3 linked regions of the Saccharomyces cerevisiae S288C genome follow. The protein of the gene in region 3 purifies or fractionates together with the protein of the main gene of each other region. This does not show direct contact. Each region holds a gene or a part of one and is shown on either strand. Other genes may lie near its edges.

Region 1 (11,051 bases), on a different chromosome or scaffold from region 3:
AAATATGACAAACATCCGAGGTATATGAGAGCTCTCGAAGAAAATCGCGACTTGATCTTACATCCTCAAGATTCGATTTATAACGGGCTAAATACCAATGAAGTCAAAGGTAATACAAAGCCCGGTTTGGTCGATGTGGAACTGGCCGAATTAAACATAGAATACATTGATAAGATGACTTGGAAACGGTGTATTAGAGACGGAACTATGACATTAGACAGTTGGGCTCAAACAACTTTTTCAGCAAGATACTCAACTGTTCTGGAAAAGTTAAGAGGCATATACATTTTTTGCACAGAGATGTTTGCTCTGACTGATGATAATGGAACGTCAGATTTTTCTGCGGAACCCCAAAATTTAGAGAAAATACTATACAGAAAGCATTGTACGCCATATGAATTGACATGGCTTTTCAAGAAATTAGCAAACTCATTGGGAATCACTTGTGAAATTGTTATAGGTTTCCTGAAAACACCGAGTGCTATAAATTGGGAGTTTAAGTATAACCACTGCTGGTTGAGAATACTGGTTAACAAAGAATGGAGATTTATTGACGTTATTTTAGGAAATGTAACCAACCCAATTCATGAATTTGTAAATAACAGAAAGATCAAGAAAGCAGAAAATAGCTACTTTTTGATGGCACCATTAGAAATGATATACACACATATACCGCCTAGGGAATTTGAGCAGCATATTGTTCCTAGTATCGATCAATTATCTGCATTGTATCTGCCATTAGTTTTTCCATCTTTTTTCAAAAATGAGTTAAAGTTATACAAATTTAGTACTGCACTATCATTTTTGGAAGATTCTGAGATCTACGAATGCTCCTTAGAAATTCCCAATGACGTTGAAGTCTTTGCATCCGTGGTTATTCCAACGGATAATGAAGAAGCTTCATCTGCGTACAGGAATATGGAACTCGCACTGACCCAAATCAAAAAGCAGAAAGCCGAGTCTGGTAGAAGAATTGCTCTAATCAAAGCAGTCCTACCACCCAATGTGAACAAAGGTTCACTGTACATACATTCAGGTGTAAGAGGTACGCAAACGAGTATTGCCAATATCCATCCACTGTCCATGATGGTCCCATTAACACATAAGGGAAGTAACATGAAATACGAATTTGTGATCAAGATACCCTCAGAAAGCATTCAGAAGATTGAGCTATACATTGTCGAGCCACAGAGTAGATATCTATTTGTTGGTAATGAGTACTCATTCGAAGTTATTCAAAGTCCCTCCGATGGTATTGTATACAGCAGTGATGAAGGGCCGAACCAAAATAGGAAACAACCAATGGCAATAAAATCACCCTCAGGAAGAGTTCATGAGCTAGTCAAGAGCGATCCCCACTTTCCTTATGGTACCTGGAAAGGAAGCATTAAAATCAAAGAGCCCGGCGTCTGGAGCGCTTTAGTGATCGCTGACTCTGGTATTGGGTGGTCCGTTTTTGCTGAATGGTTGTGCGTATAAACGTTTTTCACAAATTTTTTTACAGCGCTATAATCTGTATCATTCAACATACATTCTACTCAGGAAGGTGAATTTCATAACTCATATATGGCTATATAGTACTTATTATTTAATGATTTATCCATTGCATTCATAAAAGCTATGCTGGTCCAACTTTTTCGTATTTAGTGATGTTTTCGGTGAAGAAAATATGAAAAATTAGACCAAATGCTCAAATACATACGACATTTGAATTGTTTAGGCAAGTCCGAAAACGAGGTATATCAGCTAATTCAACCTGAAAACCAATTGAGTGCTACTTCGAAGTAAAATACATAGCCATTTCAAATGGAATTATCCCCTACTTATCAAACAGAACGCTTCACAAAGTTCTCAGACACTTTAAAGGAATTCAAAATTGAACAAAATAATGAGCAAAACCCCATTGACCCGTTTAACATCATAAGAGAGTTTCGCTCAGCCGCGGGGCAGCTTGCGTTAGATTTGGCTAATTCTGGAGATGAAAGTAACGTCATATCTTCTAAGGATTGGGAACTGGAAGCTAGATTTTGGCATTTAGTAGAACTGTTACTGGTTTTCAGGAACGCTGATCTTGATCTAGATGAAATGGAACTTCATCCTTATAACTCGAGGGGTTTATTTGAAAAGAAATTAATGCAAGACAACAAACAACTTTATCAAATATGGATAGTGATGGTTTGGCTCAAAGAAAATACATATGTGATGGAAAGACCCAAAAATGTACCAACTTCAAAATGGTTAAATAGTATTACTTCTGGAGGATTGAAAAGCTGTGACTTGGATTTTCCTTTACGAGAAAACACTAATGTCCTCGATGTTAAAGATAAAGAAGAAGATCATATTTTCTTCAAATACATTTACGAACTAATTTTGGCCGGTGCGATTGATGAAGCATTAGAAGAAGCTAAACTTTCCGACAATATTTCAATTTGTATGATCCTGTGTGGGATACAAGAGTACTTAAACCCTGTCATTGATACGCAAATTGCAAACGAATTCAATACCCAGCAAGGTATCAAGAAGCACTCTTTGTGGAGAAGAACAGTTTACAGCCTTTCGCAGCAGGCCGGTTTGGACCCTTATGAAAGGGCGATATACAGCTATTTGAGTGGCGCTATTCCCAACCAAGAAGTTCTGCAATATTCGGATTGGGAGTCTGATCTGCACATACACTTAAATCAAATTTTACAAACTGAAATTGAAAATTATCTTTTGGAAAACAATCAAGTAGGTACTGATGAACTGATTTTACCATTACCTTCACACGCGCTAACTGTACAAGAGGTGCTTAATAGAGTGGCTTCAAGGCATCCCTCAGAAAGTGAACATCCAATCAGAGTTTTAATGGCATCTGTCATACTAGATTCTTTGCCATCAGTTATTCATTCATCCGTGGAAATGTTGCTTGATGTCGTCAAGGGAACCGAAGCTAGTAACGATATTATAGATAAGCCTTATCTTCTGAGGATAGTTACACATTTAGCCATTTGCCTTGATATAATTAATCCAGGTTCTGTTGAAGAGGTTGATAAGTCCAAGCTCATTACTACGTATATCAGTCTTCTGAAATTGCAAGGCCTTTATGAAAATATTCCAATATATGCTACTTTCCTGAATGAGTCAGACTGCTTAGAGGCATGCTCTTTCATATTGTCTTCTTTAGAGGACCCCCAAGTAAGGAAAAAGCAAATTGAGACAATAAACTTTCTAAGATTACCTGCCTCAAATATTTTGAGAAGAACCACACAGCGTGTTTTCGATGAAACCGAACAAGAATATTCACCATCTAACGAAATTTCCATATCTTTCGATGTAAACAACATTGATATGCACTTAATATATGGCGTGGAATGGCTTATTGAAGGGAAGCTTTATGTGGACGCTGTCCACTCTATCATTGCCTTATCGAGGAGATTTTTGTTAAATGGCCGCGTAAAGGCTCTCGAACAATTTATGGAGAGAAATAATATTGGAGAAATATGCAAGAATTATGAATTAGAGAAAATAGCCGATAACATATCAAAGGATGAAAATGAAGATCAGTTTTTGGAAGAAATAACTCAATATGAGCATTTGATAAAGGGCATAAGAGAATATGAAGAATGGCAAAAATCCGTTAGCTTGTTAAGCTCTGAATCGAACATTCCTACTTTAATAGAGAAATTGCAAGGTTTTTCAAAGGATACATTTGAATTGATCAAGACATTTTTAGTAGATTTAACTTCCTCTAATTTCGCGGATTCGGCAGATTATGAAATCCTGTATGAGATTAGAGCCCTATATACTCCATTTCTACTGATGGAATTGCATAAAAAGTTAGTGGAAGCCGCAAAGTTGTTAAAGATCCCAAAATTTATTTCGGAAGCCCTGGCATTTACCTCATTGGTCGCTAATGAGAACGACAAGATTTATTTATTATTCCAATCTAGTGGAAAGTTAAAAGAGTATCTGGATCTCGTTGCTCGCACAGCAACCCTTTCGAACTGATCAATTAATGTATTGCAGAATAAGTTTATATTTTAAGTAAACAGCAATAATTTTATGCATTTCTTCTATCTATTTCAGAAGTAATTGACGTGATTTTTTATAGTTTTGCTTTGAATCTTTGTGTTTCCACACCGGAGAAAAAAAAGTTCATGAAGTGAAAAAGCGGTTAAACATGAATTTTCTACTATCTAAAGATAAAATTACAGATGCAGTTACTTACATACATTGAACAGTTTCTGACGGCAAATTTAGCTTCTATTAATTTTTTTCTGTAGCTGATGAAAAATTCTGTCCCTATGATGCGCCAATGGGTCATCAACATCCGTCGGAAAAAATTCATTTCTAGGGTATTCAATATCATCTCCTTCATCAGAATCATCTTCGTTATCACTTATCTCTATTTCACCTTCTTGGCCATCCAAGTCAATGAAATTCGAGGAATTTATGGATTTCAAGACATCACTTTTTCCTCCAAGCCTGTTAAAAAGATCCCCGTACTCTTCCTCCACATCGTGGTACCCATTAGATCCCTGAATTTTATCGTCATTCCAAGAGGAAAACCTGCTCTTATTAACCCCTATAACAATCTCTTCACCCAATGCAGCTATATCCTCTCCTTCGCTACCAAATAGAATAGATCTATCATCATCTTCATCCTCCGGATAATCATTTTGGTAATAGTTTTCGTCATTAGAATCCTCATCGTCTGAACGGGCTTCATTGGGATCACTTTCTTCATCAAGAGCCAAATCTATATGCTCAATAATTTTCACAAACCCTATATTTTTCTCGTTGTTATATCTAGCAACCTCATCGTCATGAATTTTCTCCAAATGGTAGATGTCAAAAACGTAATCTAAACTGGGTAGTGATGCAATTTTTGCAGAATCCCCAGTAAAATATTTCCTACTTGGTTTTTTTCTTTCTGTCTTTTCTACACCTTTATTCAACTTTAAATAGTCATTCACCATTTGATTGATCTCTGGCGGTAACCCATCGTCATCTACAGTACTTCCTTCTGCTGCAAGCCGCTGTTGTGATTTTTCATCATCTGAGTCTCTACGACTTTTTTTTCTTTGTTCCAATACAAAATGTCGATGATCTTCATGAGCCAGTTTTAAGAGTGGCGTAGAAGACTCTTGCTCGGATTGATAGCTTTCAGAGCTCACAGTCTTTGATAATTTAAATATGAACTTCTGCTTCTTCACTCTTTTCCCCTCATCAATTACTGAATTGTCCCAGATGAACTTAGTTAGTCAAACGCATTTTTGTTATATCGGTAGAATAACAACACATACATAATGCCTGCACAGAATCCTCATCCCTTCTTCTCTTTACTCTGATAAACTCAGGTGCCGTTGTGGTACTAATAGTGCTCATTCCCGAAATCTTGTATGCCTACCTCAACAAAAGCTATACCTCAGAGAGCAGTTTTATATACCATCTCTTGTTCTCATCAATAACTTGTCTTGAGCATTACACAATTTAAATCCCCTGTGCCGACACAAACAAGAGATAACCCGGAATCAATATTATCTGATTGGGCTCCTAAATATCGCATCTGTGGACTTGAATCCACATGCTGCGAACTTATTTGAAGCAACAATTACTTCTGTTGGAAGCGTGGTAGTGCCAAATCAGACTTGCTCTTTAGTTTTCTTATGTTAACGCTTTACTGCCTTTTTCTTCTATATTTTTGAACGTCAATATGTAGCGGGCGTCAGCAGAGGAACAGAATTTGTGACACTTCTTGAATGAACATTTCTCATATCTGAAACCGCATCATCAAAAGGACACCTCAATAGAGATTCAGTGACATATTTAACATAGTTTTATGGGTAAGAAATATTATTAATTATGGTACGCAAGAATAAAATAAATAGAGCGAGTGGAACTACAAAACACCTCAAGGATTTTCCATCAGTCATCCTAAGTCTGCCCAGCTACAACCCTTCCATCCTTTCTAAAAATGCAACTGCACTAATAACCGGTGGTTCTAGTGGACTCGGATTTGAACTTGCAAAGGAACTTTCCAGAAGAATTAATAAAGTTATTGTGGCAGATATTCAATCATTTCCTACTTTTGCTCAGGTAGAATATAATAACATTTTCTACTATCAATGCGACATAACAAGTCTAGATGAAATTAAAAATTTGAAAAAAGCTATTGAAAGAGATCATGGCAACATTAATATAATTATAAATAATGCTGGTGTTGCTCACATCAAAAAGTTAGAACATATGACAAACAAGGAGGTAGAACAATTGATCGACATAAACTTAATAGGTGCTTACCGAATCATCAGTACATTTGCAGAAGATATGATAGACAATAGGGAAGGCTTTATAATTAACATTGCTTCAGTCCTCGGAGAACTGACTCCTGCAAGGCTGACATCGTATGGTGCATCAAAAGGAGCAATGATTGGTTTTCACAAGTGTATGAGCAGGCATTTCAGAAGTTTGTCCACGGAATGTAATAAAACTGGAATAAAAACACTACTGGTGTGCCCGGGAAAAATCAAAACTAATATGTTTATTGATGTCCCTACACCATCTAAGTTATTGGCTCCTGACATCATACCTTCCCAACTGGCACTAGCGATAATCTCTGCGATGGAGCATAATCATCTGCAAACACTAAATGCCCCATATTATGTGAACCTAGTTCCCTTTTTCAAAACTTTGAGTTGGCCATATAGGCATCTCTTAAAACATTTCAGTGGAATGGACCATGTAACGTCAACCAGCCCGCGAGCAATAAATCCGAAGAGAAGTGCATAATATTTTAGTCTATTTAATACATTTGACGTTATTTGATCTTCACGTTGTTTATATATATATATATCAAGTATGCTATAACGCTAAAAAAAAATGCTCATAATACTATGCAAAATCTTGATGTCTTTTGACTTCTTTCCAAATTTCTAAATTTTGACGGGCATAATTTCTCATATATCTGGAATAATGCTTTAAAATTTCTGATAAATCTACTTCCCTTTCTTTAGAAAATTTAGGTAGCTGGTCATTTTTGATGACTTTTGAAATGACCTCCAAATCATTCTCAGTAACTTCCAATGATTCAGACAGTTGTTCAATTTCTTTCTTCAAATTGATACTTGCGGTATGCGGATCTGTTTCTTGATACTTCACAGAATCTTTTACCATTGATGCCAATTTGTTAAATCCATTGAATAGTTTGCCACCATATGATTTCCCACCGCTACCTGTATTATTATTAGGGCGTTCCAGATTAATAGTATGACTTTTAGACATTTCGTTGTCAATTATTTTGTCAACATCCTTATATTCATTGTTTTGCGCTTCCAGCTTCTCCAACTGTGCTCTTTTGGAATTCAGAGACTTTTTAATCATTTCATTTTGCAGGTATTTCAATTTTCTGTATTTGATCAATTCTCTTGCAGAAGTTGCCATATGAACAGATTCATTTAAAGGCTCATTTATATTGTAGTATAGTCTTCCAACTAATTTTTCTAAAGAAATCGAGGACCCCGAAAAGGCATTGCTTAAGTAAGAAAGCTGTTCGGCCAATTCCCCAACTTGAGCCTGTTCATGGGCAAACTGTGCAAATACCTCACCGATTTCATTGTAATCCGATTTCAAATCGTGATAAGTCTTCGTGGTTCGTCTATTATACTTATAAATCCCGTTATCTAACAAGTTCTCATATTGCTTGTAATCCTGTTCAATATTAGTAAACGACTTACTTCTTTCCTTATCCATTTTTTTGTCGTTGGACTCCTTATTCAACAATAACTGTGACGAGGAGCCCGGTATTGGTAACATGGCATGAATTCTAGTGGTGTTAGTGGGATCTAGTGGATTACACTGGAGGATGCTCTTCGGTAAAGATGAAAAAGTGGACGAACTGTTAACAAATTCATGCCAATTATGGTTATTAGGATCCAAAAAATCGGTAATTATAGATGTTTTTGTGATTTCTTCGTTCGTCAAAAGTTTGTTCAAGAACTCAGTGAGCATTCTTATCCTATGCCGTATTAACTTTTCATCACTATTATTGACCGACGCATGTATCACAGACAATGATAGATCTACTGAACCAGAACCTTCTGAGGGCAGCAAATACTTTGAACTCGAACCAGTTATTGACTTACCATAATTCTTTATTGACTGCTTTTCTGGAATCGGCGGTATCAACGTCATAGGAAACAATCTTATCAAGATACTTCTCAAACTCTCGAAATCGCTGTAACGTCTCTGAACGGTAGAATTTTCAAACTGAATAACATAGGCGATGTAGGCTCTTCCTTGACCTTCGGAAACTCTTTTCGCTTCAAGTATGTGTATCCTAGCGGACTTCTTTCTATTACTTACAGAAGGTTCTTCTGACGCAGAGGTCTCTCCGTTCATGGAGTTAATACTTCCACTAAGACTTGTTCTACATGTTTCTGCATTCGATTCTTGGTTTAAAGGCAATAATCCCTCAGAGTCATCCTCGTAATCTTCATTCGGGTTCTTTAGGTTATGGCTTCTCATACCGGGTATTTCTAATAAAGCTGATTTTGTGAATCCTGTTGGCCCCTCCTCCATGAATGGGTTGTCTTTTTCTAACAGGGCTGTGTGTACTAACTCAGTTTCTACTTTGTTATTGTCCCCCTTTCCAACCTTACCCTTTTTTGGGCTCTTTTTTGGCGATCCAACTCCATTCTTAGAAATTTCTGCCTCTGCCACATACTCAGTTGTCCCATGAGGTGGTTCAGCCTTTCCTGTATTCCGAGTTTCCGAATTCAATTTAGCATTTTCTTGGACATCATTTAAGTCTGACATTGTGTGCTGTAGAAGACAACTTTTCTAGATGGTATGTTCAATTGCACCACCAGTATTCGAGCTAGTCATCTCTTCATTTTGGAGATGACTTGCTGTAAATCGATAAATATTGGCTTACTCAATAGCCATATCTTAAAGGGGGCACAATGGGTGAGTTGTCGGGTAAGGGAATGTAGATCACGTGAATGAAAATTCAAGTGTTTTTCGAAAAGTTTCACCATGGCGATGAGCAAGATTGAAACAGCACTATTGTAACTATATAATTGCTAGTAAGCAAATAAGCCAAGCCTTATTAAAATCCGGTGAAAAGAATTGTTTAACGAACGTTACAAACTCTATACCTTTTTTTTACCAGCAAAATGGTTGGAGGTGCTCTCATCTGCAAATATTTACCACGCGAAGAGCAACTAAAGCTTATATCAGACTTGATTCAGAATGACAGCTTAGAAGAGGTGCTGGAGTTGATTGAAACTTCGCCACTGGATATAACGACGGACAGCAACATTGAAACACCAATCTTTGAAAAAATTACTGAGCAGGTCATTGCGTATGCTAGTATAGACGGTGAAGCCAGGGAAATGTTTCGCTCTTCGAGGGCTGAAATGAACAAGGCGCTAAGAACTTCTGCACAATTACTATGTTGTTTACCCAGTGTATGGCATAAATTTCAGGTGTGGATGAGCTACCGGTTAAATGACATCATTAGCGAAAACTATAAACATCTCTTCAATGACAACTTTGGAAAAAAGATTGTACAACCATTTTTCGATTCTTTTGCTGAGGAACAAAACGCTAATATCAAGCATGAAAATCTGCACTTAGATATCCTTAGCCTGCTTCACTACTTAGAAGTTGTATATTTATTTGACGAATGTAAGAATGGTATATCGTCCAAATGCCTAGATTTTATCATTGTTCCATTGTTAGGCTGTAATTCGGAAGAGATTGCTGATTCCTGCTCCAAGTTAATGAGATGGCATATCAAATATTTATCGAAATGCTGCAATACCGATAGTAACTTTGATAAGCTCATTTGGACATTTATCAAACAATTGTACGCTGAAGGCTCCCAACAAGCTTGGAAGCAAAAGAACAGTTTATCTTTTCTCCTAAGATTCCTTTTAGCAGCAGAGTTGTCTCCTGAACTTATTACTTATATAAAGACCGATGCTTATTGGAGGCACATTCAAACAGAGCTGGATAATGATGTGCACGAACACAGAAAATTGGCACTCTCAATTCTTAAATTAACAATTCAAAAACTGTCATCTCATGGTATAACATTGCAAACAACATTTTATAAATGCAATGATCTAGCAAATATCGAGATGCTGGGTAGCTGGAAGAAATTCACCACCTTATATGAAATGATTGCTCTGGACACATCATTGAATCAAATACAAGCGGCCAAACAAGATATAATAAAAATTTTTGATAACGAGCATTTACACCATAGTTGGGGCCTTATCTTGCTTTCTACGGGATTGAAATCATCAATGGAGAGTGTCAGAAAATACATGATGACGTTAATGTTCTCGATTACAAATATGTCAGCATTCTCTTCAAACTTGCCATTATTGACAAAAACTCTTCTTCCAGCTGCAATGTCCGCTCATTATTTTGATGTAAAAGGTGTCAGTTGTCCCCATGGTGAAAAACTTTCATTATTTGTCAATAACTTACTTTCCCAAACAACAGAAGGCATATCAGATATATTATTTGAAATTTTGAAATTATTGGTGGAAAAAGGGACCTCTTTTGACCCTTCTAGGATATACTTGTCCTACGGTATCTTAGTTTTCTTCCAGAATAACAAACAGAAAACAATCAACTCTGACCATTTGAGTCTGATCAGGAAATTGTACGATTTTGCAGCCGAAGAAGAGGTTCTCGAAACTACAATCCAAACAATTTACTTGAAGTTCTTACTGTACATTGATCCATCTGTCTCCGCATCTGAATTATTGTTTACATTAGTTTCACACATTAAGTTAAAGGGAGGGACATACAAATATGTTGAGCCTCTTTTTGAAGATTATAGGGATCTTGCCGTTTCTCACTTTGACGATTTGCAAGCGAAAGAAAACTTGACGACAAACATCGGAAAGGATACTATTTTTGACCTCTTAGCATCTATCATCTTCGATTTCAAGGATATTGATATTACTCCCGATTTTTTAATTGAAGTTGCGAAGTCGAAGCAAGATATACCCGTTTACACTTCAAAGGCAGTTACTTTTCTAACTCAGCTACTT
Region 2 (11,286 bases), on a different chromosome or scaffold from region 3:
CCTTTGGTCCTGAAAATGCCCTGAATGTCTATCACTATTTTGGCGAAAACAGCTCGATTTCATGGAAAAACATTGCACAGTGTCTCAGTGACTACACTAAGAAAATAAGCAATTTTAACTCGAGCCTCCATAAGAGGCAGCAGTTTAGTGAGTCAACTCATAACGATATCGATTCGACTGCGGTAGCCTTAGAAGAAGGCTTAAATGAAGAAGCTGTAATATTTCTGTCTTCTTTATTAACTTTAGTTGGATCAGTTACATACCAGGTTGACGAGGATGTAAAAAGCTCGCTATCGAAAGTTTTCTCAGATGTCCTATTCGAATTCACCAAGATAAATACACCTCTCGTAGGCGCTGCTTTCAAGGTTATAAGTAACTTGGTTCCAAAACTTGAATCTTCTAGAACAAAATTTTGGTCTTTTCTAGACTCTCTAATTTTCAAGGATTCATCGCTGAATTATTCATCCGAATCTTATAGAAATGCTTTTACAAACGTGTTAACAAAATACTCTGACGTTTTGGGGTTTTTACAACTCTTCCATAATCTGATTTCTATTCATTCTCGTGAAAATAATAGTGAATACATGGTTTTTGGCAAATTGGCATTTCCAACAAGATTAGGTCAGGGATATAGGAAGGTAGGTATATGGCCATATTTTGACTACATTTTCAACGACATTTTAGCGCACGTGGATCAAATTGTTGATATCAGAAATAAAAGAGCCGTCCAGCTTCCTATTTTGAAAATTATCTATACGGGCTTATGCTCTTTTGATTACAGTGTAATTTTAAATTCTATTCCTGCAGCTGCGAATTTGGATGCTTTGGTGGATTGCGAAAATTTCTTCAATTACGTTCAAGAATGCCCAGCTATCCCCATATTCAACTATATTTTCACGGAAAAGATTTACAAAAGTATATTTAATGTAGTTGATGTTGGTGTTGATCAATTGTCCATAGAGTTAGAAGGTGGCAAAAATCAGGCTGAATTGTTGCAGTTAGCTGTGAAAATTATCAATAAAGTATTGGATTATCAGGAGACATACGTGGAAGAATTATTTCCAATTGTTAAGAAGCATGGCAAGACGGATTATTTCTTGCCAAAGAATTATTCTCTTCACGGATTACGTTCATTTTACGATGCAATTTTTTTCAATATTCCACTTGTTGCACACTTGGGTTTATACGTCGGGGTCGATGATCAAATTTTAGCCACAAATTCACTGCGTATTTTGGCGAAACTTTCAGAACGCTCTAATGGCTCCGTTGCGTCTTTGTCTAAGAGAAATAAGTTGTTAACAATATTCGATTCCGTAGATGAATCAGCCAGAATAAAGGATGCATTTATTACACAATTGGAAAGCTCAATAACCGACGCTGGTGTCCTTGCTTTGAAGTTAGAACTATTAGATTTCTTAACATCAAATCTTTCTAATTATAGTCGAACGATGACTATTTCTCATCTGTTATTAGGTTTCCAGGTCTCAAACGTTATATCCCTGGGACCTAACCTAGCAACATTTATATCTTCCGGAACCTCATTACTTGATTCCCTCATAAGCGTGTTGGAAGCTTCATTGAACAGCATTACTAAGGACAATATCGATTATGCACCTATGAGATTGGCTACAGCAGCACTGGAAATTATTCTCAAACTATGTCGTAATCCGTTAACATCTGGTCTACTATATTCATACCTAATCAAAGAAAACTTTTTTGAGAGAATAATGATCCTCGATCCACAAGTGACAAGGTTCACGACATGGAACGGCTCTCCTTTTGACAATTCTACAGAGGAAAAATGTAAGAACTTCATCGAGAGCGAATCCGTTGGTGCATTTCTGTCATTCTTAGCCTACAGGAATTATTGGACACAATATTTGGGTCTGTTCATTCATAAAATTTCATTTTCGGGCACGAAATCAGAGGTTTTAACATATGTGAATTACTTGATATCAAATACAATGTATTCGGTAAGGTTGTTTTCTTTCTTGGATCCATTAAACTATGGCAATATCTGCGAACCAAAAGAGACGTTATCAATTTTCACCAATGTTCCTTTAAATTTGGAACAAGTCACTCTTAACAAGTATTGCTCCGGCAATATCTATGACTTTCACAAAATGGAAAACCTTATGCGCCTGATTAAAAGAGTCCGTGCTGAAAGCTTACATTCTAATTCCTTCAGTCTCACTGTGTCAAAAGAACAATTTTTGAAGGATGCAGATGTCGAGTGTATAAAAGCAAAAAGCCATTTCACGAATATTATATCAAGAAACAAAGCATTGGAGTTGAACCTATCTGTGCTGCACTCTTGGGTACAGTTGGTGCAAATCATTGTTACTGATGGAAAATTGGAACCATCAACAAGATCAAACTTTATTCTGGAGGTTTTTGGTACAATTATTCCGAAGATTAGTGATTATATTGAGTTTAATATAACTTTTTCAGAAGAATTGGTTTCTCTCGCCGTTTTCCTATTTGATATATATAACCGCGATCGTAAGTTGATTACCGACAAAGGCACGGTAGACGGCAGGCTATATCAGTTGTTCAAGACATGTATTCAGGGTATAAACTCCCCACTCTCCTCTGTGGCATTAAGGTCCGATTTCTATATATTAGCAAACCATTATTTGAGTAGAGTTCTAAGCGACCAAGTAGGGTCCGAAAAGGTTCTGCAGGATTTGAGACTAGGAAGTAAAAAATTGGTAGAGATCATATGGAACGATGTTGTTTATGGCGAGGGAACTAGTAGGGTTACAGGTATATTACTATTGGATTCACTTATTCAACTGGCTAATAGAAGTAAAGAGAATTTTATATTGGATTCACTGATGAAAACTACAAGACTGCTCTTAATAATACGTTCGCTGAAAAATACAGATGCTTTGTTAAATTCTACTACAGAGCACATAAACATTGATGATTTGTTATATGAATTGACAGCTTTTAAAGCCACTGTATTCTTTTTAATACGTGTTGCCGAAACTAGAGGTGGAGCTAGCGCTTTAATTGAAAATAATCTATTCCGAATAATCGCGGAATTGTCATTTTTAAAAGTTGATCCTGATTTGGGTCTAGACCTTATGTTTGACGAAGTCTACGTTCAGAATTCCAAATTCTTAAAGGTTAACGTCACCTTGGATAATCCGCTACTAGTTGACAAAGATGCTAATGGTGTTTCCTTGTTTGAGTTAATCGTTCCTATATTCCAATTGATATCAGCTGTTTTAGTGAGCATGGGGAGCTCAAACAAAGCTGTTGTTCAAACGGTAAAGGGTTTACTGAATACGTATAAGAGGCTAGTGATCGGAATATTCAAAAGAGATCTTTTGAGGGAAAAAGAAGATAAGAAAAATTCGTCGGATCCTAATAACCAAAGTTTAAACGAAATGGTGAAGCTAATTGTGATGTTATGCACATTAACAGGATATCAAAATAACGATTAAGTCATTCATTATCACTTTTAAGAATTACTTTTAGGAATCGATTTCATTTTGCAAAATATTTGGTTGTGTACTAAGTACTAAGAAGAAACTATCACAAAAAGTGGCTTTTAGTTTCATACACTACAGAAGCCTTTCTTTGGTTCTGATTTGGTGCGTATTTACTGTCTAATGAAATAAAAATCCAGGTCGTTTACAGATCGGCACGACACATTACAAAAACTTCTTGAAAAAGGAAAAAAACAAGTATGATTGAGGTGTTAAATTAATTGCAGGTTCTGAACCATCGCGTACATTTTGATACCTATATATAATTATTTAATATAGCACATCCTATGTCAAATAAGTGTAGAATAGAGGGAATTTTTTCTTTTAGATCATTTCTTTATCGAGTTGATTTGTTTTTCCAGAGAGGTGGAGTTATCGTCTAGTGACCTTAAAGCGTCGAAATGTGAATTCAAGATTTTGATTAGTTGAATATTTTCGTCTTCATTGTTTATATCGATGTTAGTGGTTTTGTTGAATGTATTACTAACATTGTTGATTTCTACTATTAGAGAAGAAAGATTGGATGACAACGAGTTTAAATTTTCGTCCAAAGTCTGGGCTGTCTTATAGGCCTGTTGTCTTTTTTGGTCATTATTGTTGGCCGCAGCACCTGAACTTGTAGACACAACATCGGACAGAAGTGCCTCTGTCTTGGTTTCAAAATTGTCTAAGAAGTTTTCTAATTCATCCTGTTGCCTCTCGATATATTGTAGAGATTGATCTATTTTGTTTTGACTATGTTCCGCCATCACAGCATCTGAGTATAACTGACTAATTTGTTCACCTCCTTTCACTAGTACCTGATCCCAACTATTAATTTTTTTGGTATACTGTTCAAAATGAGAGGCCGATTCTGTTAGTTGGTTAGTCCATTTCGTTACTAAATCGTCCAGTGTTTTATTGTCGAGAGAAACTGGCTTCAATTCTACTGGTTTAGAATTTAATTTCAAGCTATCACTTGATTTGACATCTGCGGTTGACTTCCCCGTAGAAGATTCCTCTGTTTTCTTCTCATTATCTTTTTGAGCACCAAAAGTAAACGCTGGCTTGCTCGTATCACTGGATTTCTGTTCTTCGGGTTTAGCACCAAAGGAAATGGCAGCCTTCGCCCCATCGCCTTCCTCCTTTCCTGTAGGCTTAGAACCAAATGAAAAGGCTGATTTTGATTCATCACTTTCTTTCTTTTCGTTAGCCTTTGCTCCGAATGAGAAGGCAGGCTTGGAGACTTCATCATTCTTCTTTTCATCGGGTTTAGCACCGAATGAGAAGGCAGGCTTCGAAGAACCACTGTCCTTTTTTTCATTCGATTTAGTACCAAATGAGAAGGCAGGCTTCGAAGAATCACTGTCCTTTTTTTCATCCGATTTAGCACCAAATGAGAAGGCAGGTTTAGAGGCATCGCCATCCTTTTTCTCATCGGACTTTGCTCCAAAAGAGAATGCCGGCTTGGAAGTTTCATTGTTATTCTTTTCCGCGGGCTTGGCACCAAAGGAAAATGCTGGCTTAGCCGTTCCATCTTGCTTGTCTTCATTTGATTTGGCACCAAATGAGAAAGCTGGTTTTGAGGAATTATCATCCTTCTTTTCTTCTGGCTTAGCGCCGAATGAGAAGGCAGGCTTAGAAGTAGCACTAGCTTTATTTTCATCCGGTTTAGCGCCAAAAGAGAAGGCAGGTTTAGAGGCATCACCATCCTTTTTCTCATCAGACTTTGCTCCAAAAGAGAATGCCGGCTTGGAGGTTTCATTGTTATTCTTCTCCGCGGGCTTGGCACCAAAGGAAAATGCTGGCTTAGCCGTTCCATCTTGCTTGTCTTCATTTGATTTGGCACCAAATGAGAAAGCTGGTTTTGAGGAATTATCATCCTTCTTTTCTTCTGGCTTAGCACCGAATGAGAAGGCAGGCTTAGAAGTAGCACCAGCTTTATTTTCATCCGATTTAGCACCAAACGAAAAACTTGGGGTTGTGTTAGTTGTCTTATTGTCGGATGTTGCAGTACCAAAAGAGAGGGCTGGTTTTGCTGGTTCATTAGTTGTAGGTTCGGGTTGCGAAGCTCCAGCTGGGTTAGCACCAGCTGATCCTGAACCAAATGAAAGGGAAGGCTTTGCAGCCTCGTTAACCGTTTTGTTTCCACCTAGTTGTGAACCAAAGGAAAATCCTGTAGTGGGAGCTTGAGCGTCTGTCTTATTACCGACACTTGAATTAAAGGAGAAAGCAGGCTTGTCTGGTTCTGTTTTTTTATCGTCGTTAGTGGTTGCACCAAAGGAAAAGGCTGGCTTATTCGCATTTGCGGTAGCGCCAAATAAGTTATTACTTGTGTTAGCATTACCGGTCGAGCTAGGAGTTGTGTTATTGCCGCCGCCAAAATTCAAACCGCCGAACGCAGGTTTTGTCGTATTGCTATTAGTACTGTTATTGAATAAGGATGAAGAACCAAATGTATTTCCTCCAGCAGTTCCATTGCTCTTCGTTTGTTGAGCACTGGAAGATCCAAAAAGGGATGTCCCTGCACTATTACTACCAAATGTATTAGTCGTAGAATTGTTGCTGCCAAAAACGTTACTTGTGGGGTTACTGTTACCGAATGCAGTATTACCAGTGTTATTGCTACCAAATGCAGGTGTGATTGAAGAGTTTGCATTGTTCGTGTTATTTGGCGCAGAATTGTTGAAACCAAATGTTGATTGACCTGTTCCGAAGGCGCCCGCACCAGTAGAGGAATTCTGATTGGTGGTGTTAGAGTTATTGTTGGCAGTCCCGAACGAAAAGGGCGTTTTGTTTTGTTGAGGTGTATTGAAGTTCACTAATATTAAAAATCATGTAGTTTACAGGTTCGCAGGTTTTCGTTAGTAAATAGGAAGAAATTGTATAGGAGATAAAATTTTGATCGGAAGACAACCGTCCAATGGAAAGAAACATACTTTTTCAAAACGATCAGAGCTTATTACTGTTGGACTGTGCGTTGCAATGGCTCTCCAATAGCGTCTTCAGGTATCACAATCGACACGTCAAATATCACATCTGAGTGGTGCTAACACCATTTATTATTTTCTATAAAAGTTTGAAGAAAAAAACTCATCGGACCCGTCCGGGTTGTCTCAAGTTCTACAAAAGCATTATGCTTACATTAATAATAATAAAAAATACAAAATACTTAAAATAATCATACATGAAAGGATACGTAAATGTCTGAGGGCTCCTTATTATATTTTCGAAACCCAATACAAAAAAGAGATTAAAAAATTAAGAGAAATCCCTTATTATTTAGTACTACTGTTCCGCGCATCCTGGATTTTGTCTAGCACATCATCATAAGCAGCGTCAATGGCATTTTCCTCTGCATTGTTCATAAATTTATCAAATCCAGGCGCATCGGTCGGAGGAATATGAGCATTATCGTTCGTTCTAGAAGTATTGGAGCCTGTGGATATCGGATCAGTGGTAGGGGACGCATTAGCACTTGAATCATTGGATTGGGAGGACTGTTGTTCATCCTTTGTTCTGAACGCGGTCTCTTCTTGGTTTCCCTGTTTTTTGAAAATATGATGCAAGTGGTACCCTTGGCTATGCAGTTCATCAATGACGCCAAGGATAGTAGAGACGTCATTCTTCAACAGAAATTCCTTTATCTGGTCACTATCTAAGGATTGTGCGGCACGATTTAAGATTTCTTTGTCCACTGGCAAATCGCCACCACCGACAAGCTTTTCGTGTTCTAGTTCTCTTTTAATGATAGAGTATTTGTTTTTGATATCAACTTCATCTCGAAATTGTTGATCATTTGCTGGTACGTCTTCGTGATTTACGTTGGAGTCGTCACCTTCTCTGAATTCGACGGCATCTTCTGCATCTGGGCTTGACTTTTCGACTATTGCACTACCGAATGGCATAAGCGCAATATGATCTGAATTTTGTAATATAGATGAGCTTAGTAACATTCTTTGACAGCTTTCGGAATTGGGTTGTGCTTGATTTCCCCCTTTCCGACTTTTTGAGACGGCCTCTGGTGATTTCAAAGTGTTGTTATGTCTTTGTTTCAGCAGGTCACAGCCTCTTTCCAAACTTGCCTCTATGAAGCATAATCTAATCAAAGCTTCCTTACCTTCCAAATTTAATTGTCCATTCAGTTTTAAATCAAAAAGATCATGAACCACTTTACTAATCTTGATACGTGCCAACGCGATTTTGGCCATGAAATTCTCAACCATTTTGTTGTAATGTTCGGAATTATCCGCTTTTTCAGTTAATAAAAGTGATAGTTGGTCCTGTAGGCTTGAAAATTGGCTATCTTTGATATCTTTATCGTCACTATTAACCCTTTTCAACTCCCCTTGAATATTTCTTAAAGCATATAATGAAATTTTTTCCTTAATGTTCTCTGGCATATACACATAGTCCACGTCCAAAGTCATCAAAGATGAACTTTTCCTCACCGCCTCTGCTAGAGCTTTAGACGATGCCAAATCCAATTCCGTTCCTAACATGGAAAAATAATTCAATCTTGAACACATGGGTAATATTTCGGCCAGCATCACTACACTCGTGGAACTTAAATTATTGTAGTCGATATGCAGACGGACAAGATTAACAAAAACAGGTAAAAAATCAATCAGCGTCGGAACACAGTGGGGGAAGATGGCAGGATTGTTCGATATATCCAAGAATTTTAAATTTTCCAAATAACATAAAACGCTTATCAGTTTTAAGACCTCGTTATTCTCAAAAGTGTCGTGTTCGTTCACTCTCAAATTTGTCCCATTTAGAGATAAAAATTTGAAGACGTTTTTCTCGTTAGCTTTTTGTATTTTGCCTAAAACAGCATCGGTGAAAGAGGAAAGTTTGCCATTCAAATCGTTAAAACCAACGTCTAGACCTGTCACTTTTGATTGAACCATCCACTTGGCCAAATCATCACATTGGCTCTTAGATAATCCATTATACGCGAGGCCCAATCTCTCGGTTGCTATACAAGCAACGAGGATGAAGTTTTTGAATTGTGCAGAATTCATCTTGGCCCCGGAAATGACAATTTCCTCCAAACCGCCCATGAGGGCAATAGAAGCTGTCAAAAGGTCCCAGTTCATGTCGGATCTATTTTCCAAGTTGCATTGCATTCTCAGAATTTTTGACTTCAAAGAAGATTTAGAAGGCTTTTGTACATTTGTCTTGATGGAAGGGACCATTGTCAAATCAATAGAGTGCAGAGACTTGGCCTTGGAGACAAAATAACACAGAACTTTCCATCCTTCTTCATCCAAGGGGGTGTTTCTTAGAGAAAGTTTTTGGAAATGCTGTTTGTAAACCAGCGAACTCAAAATTATTCTAAGCATTTGCACGGTTAATTGTACACCGTCCAACGAAAGACATAAAACGGGAGCAATGCTCAAGAAATCGCTGAACGACCAAATTTCCACCATAGAAGGTCTTGGGTTACGTAACTGTAAGATGGGGATAGGGTCCGTCGAGCCCTTTTTCAATTGCTTCAATGTGGCTGGTATGGGCAGAATTTCTCGCAAGTGACAACAACGGGTATACACAATGTCGTGAGGTATCTTCAAAGAAGGTGGGGGAAGAATTTCTCCTTCATCATCTGCGTTCGTACCGTTGGTATCACTGGACACCATGGAGGCCAAAGAGGATGTGGAAGCACCCCTTCTTGAAATCATTGGCTTATCGATGGTCAAATGGCTGGCGGTCTTACTGACAGTGACTTCTTCTTCATTGTTGGTCACGATACGTTTCAATTCGTTAGGTGCCTCTTTGGCTCTGGCCTCTGCAGCAGCTTCTGCAGCGGCCATAACGATGTTTCTCCTTTGAGAATTGTTATCCTCCTCGTCGTGTGCCTCCACTTCGTTCTGCTTTTGAGGGGCCATCTCCTCTTTACTCTTGGCATTTGCGTCGTCTTCCTCGGGATTTAATAGTTTTAATTGCCCGGTCCCCCCAACGACAACACCCAAACTAGTCGATTCCATGATTTTTTTGCGTTCTTGCGGAGTCAACCTATGAATGACAACAGATCCATTAGGCTTCACTTCCACTTCACCTTTACGAGGGTTTTTACTGCATATTTGTTGTGGAGGATCGTTGAAATAGGTGTTCGTAGCAAAGGAGACGTGTTTCAAGGGCCGTATATTCTCGAGGCCGGGGACGGTGGTTATCTTTGAAGGGTCGAACTCCATTGAACTAGAAGACCATAGGGACGTCGATGAGGTGTCTGGATTATTGACGTTTGCAGAAAGGGAGGAGGCATTGGTGCTGTTGTTGTTGTTGTTCCCATAAGAGGTAACTTTCCTTAAAAAGGCGCCGAATTTATGAGAAGAAGGTGTCTGATTATTATTCTGCGCTGACGAGGAAACGTCCGAATTGGAATCCACTGTGTCTACTATCGATGCGTTGCTTGGATGCTTCTTCCTGAAGGCGGAAGGCAATTTGGGTGCGTCGGGATGCGGCGGAATGGGTCTTCCCTTAGCGTCAAATTTCTGGTGAGCAAGTGATTTGGCAGGTTGTGGTTTGTCGTTATGTAATGAGAACGAAGCGCGTCTATTTTTCTTGGTTGTGGGAGACGCAGATGACTTAATAAAGTTCCCTTCTTTGAAGGCGGCTAATTTGTAATCCTTAGATTTGTAGTAGCGCAAGAAATCCATTAATCTAGGATCAGGTCGAGAGCCGCCATAGTTATGATCGTCTGCGGGGGAAGTTCCGTCGACTTTACCCTCTTCTGGTGAGTGGTATGTGCGCATACGGCCATGGTAGTAGCTTTGCGGATGATTTTCGTAATACACTTCTGATTCCGTCTTGGATCTTGTTAACGGTACCACAGTATCGTTATAAGAGGGTGGAGCATTGTACTGCAAAGGCGGTGGTGATTCCGCAGATATGGTAGCCGTTCTTTCTCTTCTTATGGCCGCGCCACGGTCCACGTGAGTCGGAGAGGGTGAGCGCTCTTTCCTTTCTCGTTCCTTCTCCTGTTGTTCCTGATCCTTCTTCCTATGGCCAAACAGACTCTTAAAGAATCCGACCTTCTTAGGTGCAGGAGCATCTTCCGTGTGATGGTGGTGGCGGTGGTGGTGATGATGTCCGGAGTCAGCCTCAACGTTAGACAGGTTAGTCTCCACCACTGACTTCGACCTACCCCTAGGGGGAGGAATGTTTGTGGGAACGGATGTAGACCCAGCGTTAGCACGCTGATTATCCATTAGCAAGCTCGCAGCTACGGAGTGACGGCGTCCCTTATCGTTTGAAGAAAGAATGCTGCTGGAAGAGTCTACAGACGTTTCGAAAACGGGCGGGCGAGCAGTGTCCATCTGGATGTCAGGAGCCACACTGTTGGCCTTGGACTCGGATTTCCCTGGTCTGGAGCTCTTGCTGGTGGAGGCACTGGGCCTGACCAACCATCCAACGTCGATGCAGGGGATTCGGTGCTCCTTAAGCAACTTTTGCGTGTCCTTGGAGTCCATGGAGCAGTTGTAGGGCTATCTTGTATATTTTGCGTATTTAAGTGCGATTATGCGAGTGCCTGAGTGGTGTATATGTATGTACATATGAACGCTTTAAGGCAGAAGCTTGTTATATAAAGGAGAATGAGAACGCAGCATTTGCTTGTACAGCCAGATGCTTCGAGTGAAACACCGTTGCGTAAATTGAACCTGAACGTTCTAGATGCGAAAACAATACAATAAGCCAATAACGTAAACAGTCGCGCAGCACGAGGAAGGGGGGAGAGCAAGCTGTCCAGGACGGGTGAACATCGAACGGGGCCGACGGCCTAAAAGAGAAGCTGATGAAAAAAAAA
Region 3 (7,129 bases):
CTCCATAAGGTATATCGATGATGGTATGCAGAAAAAATCAGGCTTTTCATTTAAATGCCATCGTCAAACCAATCCTAATAGGGCACCTGGCTCCAATGGTCAATCTCTAGTGTATCCTGTAAATAGCATTGCATTTCATCCATTATATGGTACTTTTGTTACGGCTGGTGGTGATGGTACCTTCAATTTTTGGGATAAGAATCAAAGGCATAGATTGAAAGGCTATCCTACTTTGCAAGCATCTATTCCTGTATGCAGCTTCAATAGGAATGGTAGCGTATTTGCGTACGCTCTAAGTTATGATTGGCATCAAGGCCATATGGGCAACAGACCCGACTATCCAAACGTCATTAGGCTACATGCCACAACTGATGAAGAGGTTAAAGAGAAAAAGAAAAGGTGAAATTCGTTCTTCGGATAGCTTCCGTGCGCAACCACATTACTTTTGTAATTTTTTATATTTGCAATATGTAAAAGATATATATTTTTTAATGATACAGGTTCTTTTGGAGAGAATAGGAAAATCTCTCTATACCTATTCAAAATTGATAAAAAGTTTTACAGGTTACACTGAGTCGCCGTTTTAACCGGTGGTAATGTGCAGACAATACTTTCATTAATTTTCATCTATATGTAGCTTTCTTTCCAAAGCACCTATGATCTTTTTGTTTTTCTTTTTGGGAACCACTTCCAAGGTTTTTCCCTTTGATTTAATTTTTTTTGTATTTGGTGAAGAGCTGAATGGATTTTCAGAAGTGGCGCTCAAATCGTTTAGAACCTTTCGTGCATCCAAATGAAAGTCGTCAAATGCAATTTCATCCTCCCTTTTTATCAGGACACTTTGCGGCAAAAATCTTTTCTTTTGATGGTTTGTCTCTATAATACTATCAATTTCAATTGTTAAGTCTTCAATGTTTTCCTTCCTTTTCTGTTTATTAGTGTAGTCAATATTATTGGGTATCAGTAATTGTCCTATTGGAAAATATTCATAATGCTTCTCTTGTTCTTTAAGTAGAATATTCTCCATTTTCCACGACTCATCAATTGCGGAATACACATATTTATTATAGCAACTAAGGCGGAGATTTTCATTCCAGTTTTCACTCATTTCCAACTCAAAAAGGAACCAAAGTCGTGAATACTTGATATCTCTTCTATTTTCTGTGCTACAAAGACAATGATCACAGGCAATATCATTAAGTTCTCTATCGAAAATTTTCTCTTGTAACTTTTTCAAATTACTTCTTGTTAGACATTCCGTTGCTTCTTCATTAGCGACATTATTTTGTAAATGCTGCGTATCTTTGTCTTCTTTTGCTGCAACATTACCGGAGTTTTGCTTTGGTTTTACCGAGTGTTCTTTATGATAACTCGATAAACAGTGTTCTTTTATGTTCTTCTTCGGTTGCTTTTCTGGGCTGGTATTGGATATCTTCCTGCTCAAGAATCGGGAATATCTTTGGAGTTTATTTGGGAATTTGAGATAGTTTGTGTCTTTATTTGAAATTGTTCTTTTTTCCCTCATTTTTTTTTCAGGAAACAAAAAAATTCTCTGAAAATGCTTTTGCTAGTAAATAAATATGGCTATGTTTCCATTGTTGAACTTTCCATGAACGTCTGGAGATTATTCTATTATTATAGTATTTGCTGATTAAAGTATTATAAAATTAGTGACACAAAATAGAAAGTATTACCCGACTTTGGAGAGGAAAGATTTCTAATGAATAATTTCCATCTGAATTTTGAATGGCTTTATAAATCAATAGAAGAAATTAAGAATAAAATCTGTTTGTAGGAGAAACATTTCACAAAAACTACAGCTCGGATTTCAATTGTGATGTATTCAACTCCACTAAAAAAGAGGATTGATTACGATCGCGAAACGTTTACGGCTTCGGCTTCCTTAGGAGGAAATCGCTTAAGGAATCGGCCAAGAGATGACCAAAACAACGGTAAGCCCAACCTGTCGAGCCGTTCCTTCCTAAGCGAAAGAAAAACCAGGAAAGATGTATTAAACAAGTATGGCGAGGCTGGAAATACTATTGAATCAGAACTTCGTGACGTAACTACACACGTCAAGATAAGCGGGTTGACTTCCTCTGAACCGTTGCAGTTGGCTAGTGAATTTGTCCAGGATTTGAGCTTTAGGGACAGAAATACGCCAATACTAGATAATCCAGACTATTATAGTAAAGGTTTGGATTATAATTTCTCAGATGAAGTCGGTGGATTAGGTGCATTTACCCCCTTCCAAAGACAACAAGTGACAAATATACCAGATGAAGTTTTATCACAAGTTTCAAATACCGAAATAAAGAGTGATATGGGTATTTTTCTCGAACTGAACTATTGTTGGATAACCTCTGATAATAAATTGATCTTGTGGAATATCAATAATAGTTCAGAATACCACTGTATCGATGAAATCGAGCACACCATTTTAAAAGTGAAACTAGTTAAGCCTAGCCCAAACACTTTTGTTTCTTCTGTTGAAAATTTATTGATTGTCGCCACTCTTTTTGATATCTATATTTTGACAATATCATTTAATGACCGTACTCATGAGTTGAATATCTTTAACACAGGATTAAAAGTAAATGTAACTGGGTTCAACGTTTCTAACATAATAAGCTACGAAAGGACTGGACAAATATTTTTCACTGGTGCGACTGATGGTGTCAACGTGTGGGAATTACAATATAACTGCTCGGAGAACCTATTCAATAGCAAGAGTAACAAAATATGTTTGACAAAGTCAAACTTAGCAAATTTACTACCTACAAAACTAATACCTAGCATACCCGGAGGAAAGTTGATACAAAAAGTACTAGAAGGGGATGCAGGTACCGAAGAAGAAACTATATCACAGCTCGAAGTTGACCAGTCAAGAGGCGTTTTACATACTCTATCAACGAAATCTATTGTCAGATCTTACCTAATTACTAGTAACGGGCTAGTAGGACCGGTCCTCATTGATGCTGCTCATATCAGGCGTGGAATGAATGCATTGGGTGTAAAAAATTCACCTCTACTCAGTAATCGAGCTTTCAAGATTGCCAAAATTGTTTCTATCTCTATGTGTGAGAACAATGATTTATTCTTAGCTGTTATAACTACTACTGGGGTACGCTTGTATTTCAAAGGTTCCATTTCTAGGAGATCGATTGGCTCATTAAAATTAGACTCTGTAAAGTTTCCTCCTACCAGTATATCTAGCTCCCTCGAGCAAAATAAATCTTTCATAATCGGTCATCACCCCTTAAACACACATGATACAGGCCCACTTTCAACACAAAAAGCTAGTTCAACTTATATCAATACCACTTGCGCTAGTACGATAATATCACCAGGTATATACTTTACGTGCGTGAGGAAAAGAGCTAATTCCGGAGAACTATCTAAAGGTATTACAAATAAAGCTTTGCTGGAAAATAAAGAGGAACACAAACTTTACGTTAGTGCTCCAGATTACGGTATATTAAAGAATTATGGTAAATATGTAGAGAATACCGCACTACTCGATACGACAGATGAAATTAAAGAGATTGTTCCCTTAACAAGATCTTTTAATTACACTTCTACTCCCCAAGGTTACGCCAATGTGTTTGCCTCACAATACAGTGCAGAACCATTAAAAGTTGCCGTTTTAACAAGCAATGCCTTAGAAATTTATTGCTATCGCACGCCCGACGAAGTGTTCGAAAGCTTGATTGAAAATCCTTTGCCATTTATTCACAGTTATGGTTTATCTGAGGCTTGCTCTACGGCACTTTATTTAGCTTGTAAGTTTAATAAGTCAGAGCATATTAAATCAAGTGCCCTGGCCTTCTTCTCTGCCGGTATACCTGGGGTAGTTGAAATAAAACCGAAAAGTTCTAGAGAAAGTGGCAGCGTGCCGCCAATCTCACAAAATTTATTCGATAAATCTGGTGAATGTGATGGTATAGTACTATCTCCCAGGTTTTATGGTTCTGCGTTATTAATTACAAGATTATTTAGCCAAATATGGGAAGAGAGGGTCTTTGTTTTTAAAAGGGCTTCCAAAACGGAAAAAATGGATGCTTTTGGTATTTCTATAACTAGGCCACAGGTTGAGTATTATTTATCATCGATATCTGTTTTGGCAGATTTCTTCAACATCCACCGTCCTTCCTTCGTTTCATTTGTGCCTCCGAAAGGTAGCAATGCTATAACTGCATCCGATGCTGAGTCTATTGCTATGAATGCTCTTATCCTCTTAATAAATTCTATTAAGGATGCGCTTTCCCTTATAAATGTCTTCTACGAAGATATTGATGCTTTCAAATCTTTGCTAAATACATTGATGGGTGCAGGGGGAGTTTATGACTCCAAGACACGTGAGTATTTTTTTGATCTTAAGTTCCATGATTTGTTTACCCCTAACGCAAAAACCAAACAATTAATAAAAGAGATTTTAATAGAAGTTGTAAACGCTAATATTGCAAGCGGCACATCGGCAGATTATATTGTGAACGTTTTAAAGGAACGCTTTGGATCTTTTTGTCATAGTGCAGACATTTTGTGTTACAGGGCAGGAGAGCATTTAGAAGCAGCACAGAAGTTTGAAATGATAGATTCTAAAATATCAAGGAACCATTTAGATACCGCAATTGACCTTTATGAAAGGTGTGCCGAGAATATAGAATTATGTGAATTGAGACGTGTGGTGGATATCATGGTAAAACTTAATTACCAGCCTAAGACTGTTGGATTTCTACTTAGATTTGCAGATAAAATTGATAAAGGAAACCAAGCACAAGAGTATGTGTCTAGAGGTTGTAATACTGCCGATCCAAGAAAAGTTTTTTATGACAAACGCATAAATGTGTACACTTTGATTTTTGAGATTGTCAAAAGCGTGGATGACTATACATCTATCGAACAATCCCCTTCAATTGCAAATATATCTATTTTTTCACCAGCTTCGTCACTGAAGAAAAGAGTTTACTCAGTGATAATGAATAGCAATAACAGGTTCTTCCATTATTGCTTTTATGATTGGCTTGTCGCAAATAAAAGACAAGACTACTTATTACGTTTGGATTCTCAATTTGTTTTGCCGTACTTGAAAGAAAGAGCAGAAAAATCTCTAGAAATTAGTAATCTGTTGTGGTTCTACTTATTCAAAGAAGAACATTTTCTTGAAGCAGCTGATGTTTTATATGCTCTAGCTAGTTCTGATTTTGACTTAAAATTAAGTGAAAGAATCGAATGCCTAGCAAGAGCAAACGGTCTTTGTGATAGCTCAACGTCATTCGACCAAAAGCCGGCACTGGTCCAGTTATCTGAGAACATCCACGAACTTTTCGACATAGCTTCCATTCAGGATGACCTACTTAATTTGGTAAGGAATGAAACAAGGATTGACGAAGATTATAGAAAGCAACTAACACTTAAACTAAATGGAAGGGTGCTCCCATTATCAGATCTCTTTAATGATTGTGCAGACCCATTAGATTACTACGAAATAAAACTAAGAATTTTCAAAGTATCTCAATTCAAAGATGAAAAAGTCATTCAAGGAGAGTGGAATCGATTGCTCGATAGCATGAAAAATGCTCCATCGCCTGACGTGGGAAGTGTAGGCCAAGAATCCTTTCTTTCCTCGATATCCAACACACTAATTCGAATTGGTAAAACAACACGCGATACGGACGTTGTTTTCCCTGTACATTTCTTAATGAATAAAATATTAGAATCATTCATTGATAAAAGTTCAGCTGCTGATGGATCTGTATGTTCAATGTTCTTGCTTGCCGGAGTTTCTCATTTAAAACTCTATTACATTCTAAGTCGTATCATAGAAAACTCTGAAGGAAATGTCGAATTGGCAAAAAAAGAAATGGTATGGTTGATCAAAGATTGGTACCAAAGTGATTCAGATTTACGCGGTTCAATTGCGCCAGAACAAATCAAAAAATTGGAGAAATATGATCCGAATACCGATCCCGTTCAAGATTATGTGAAGGATCGTCATCATGGCCTGAAATGAACGGAATTATTTGTATATTTTAGCAGTTTGATTGTGAAGTTTTCTTTAATACGTAGGCAAATTCTTACGTCATCCTTTATATAGTGAATGTAAACTGCTGTTTTACGGTACGCTAACCGTAGCGAACTGAGACTGTATATGGTAAACAGTTAGTTGATCGTATGGCAGAGAATCTAGTTATTCTGAATACGTTCCCTTCACTTGAGCAGCTCAAAATATACACACTTAAACGCGATAGAATATACATAGAAACGTAGAAACGACATCAGTCGCTTTCGCTTCCTGCCAGAAGGATTAATAGAAGGGGAAGAGCCAGCTCCGTAGTTAGCGCATGCGGAAAGATGCCCATACTCAACAGCTCAGTTAAATATGACAGGCTAGGGCTATTTCTGTAATAGCAATGATGCCATCACGTATGAGAGTTCGGATACGAGTTGTTCTCATAAACATTTTTATTAGCATTGTTCAAAAAGTGTTCTAATTCATTTTTATAAGTTTCCTGTTTTTCAATAAAGGCAAGCAACTCATCGTCTTCCAAATCCTCGTTGTTTTGCCATTCCATATATTCAGCCATGTCAGAGGGTAGAGCGTTCTTTTGTGCTTCCTGCTTTAGCCTTTGCATTTCTCTAAGGTGTTCACCTTGCATGATCATTTCTTCCATCTTTTCTAGGCCACCGCGTACTTTGGTCATTTTGTCTCGACGTCTAGTTAATCTCATGGACTCCAACCGTGATCTCTGATCCGCTCGTTGTCGTTCTGAAGGGGCAATAGGGGATGAAGAATGAGGCCCAAAAAAATCCTGTGAACGATCTCGTCTACTTGATATTATATCTGAAACCACAGAAGGGGAAGTGTCAATGTGCATAGTGCCACTTTGTTGTTTGTTCTCTTCTGATAGTCTACGTGTAGATGTTCTTAAAGATTGAGGTGTTAAACTCCGGTCAAAAGAAACACCTGTACGCTGTAGTTCTGCGGCCTTCTCTTCATTCCAATCGAAGCAACAGTCATCCGAATTTAAATTATGATTGCTGTACATTTCCGAGCTAAACTCTTTGACTGTATTTTGTTCCTTTTAATGGTCAATTAGTCGTGTTGTTTGGCGATGACTTTCTTATT

What was found.
Region 1: the proteins of NUP157 (region 3) and NUP84 purify together in Saccharomyces cerevisiae (affinity purification with mass spectrometry; 6 studies listed by BioGRID). This does not show direct contact.
Region 2: the proteins of NUP157 (region 3) and NSP1 purify together in Saccharomyces cerevisiae (affinity purification with mass spectrometry, with the first as the bait; 2 studies listed by BioGRID). This does not show direct contact.

Annotation. Positions count from the first base shown.
Region 1 is NC_001136.10:249,760-260,810, forward strand, and holds NUP84 (Nup84p), read left to right. Parts: upstream 1-1,806; coding exon 1,807-3,987; downstream 3,988-11,051. Other genes in the region: CYK3 (Cyk3p), read left to right, coding at 1-1,479; IWR1 (Iwr1p), read right to left, coding at 4,236-5,215, 5,286-5,367; YDL114W (short-chain dehydrogenase/reductase), read left to right, coding at 5,845-6,771; ATG20 (Atg20p), read right to left, coding at 6,874-8,796; TRM3 (tRNA (guanosine(18)-2'-O)-methyltransferase), read left to right, coding at 9,156-11,051.
Region 2 is NC_001142.9:360,914-372,199, reverse strand, and holds NSP1 (FG-nucleoporin NSP1), read right to left. Parts: upstream 6,417-11,286; coding exon 6,416-6,416; intron 6,298-6,415; coding exon 3,827-6,297; downstream 1-3,826. Other genes in the region: NUP192 (Nup192p), read left to right, coding at 1-3,452; MHP1 (Mhp1p), read right to left, coding at 6,755-10,951.
Region 3 is NC_001137.3:366,722-373,850, reverse strand, and holds NUP157 (Nup157p), read left to right. Parts: upstream 1-1,837; coding exon 1,838-6,013; downstream 6,014-7,129. Other genes in the region: RNA export factor GLE2, read left to right, coding at 1-403; MAM1 (Mam1p), read right to left, coding at 617-1,525; RTT105 (Rtt105p), read right to left, coding at 6,423-7,049.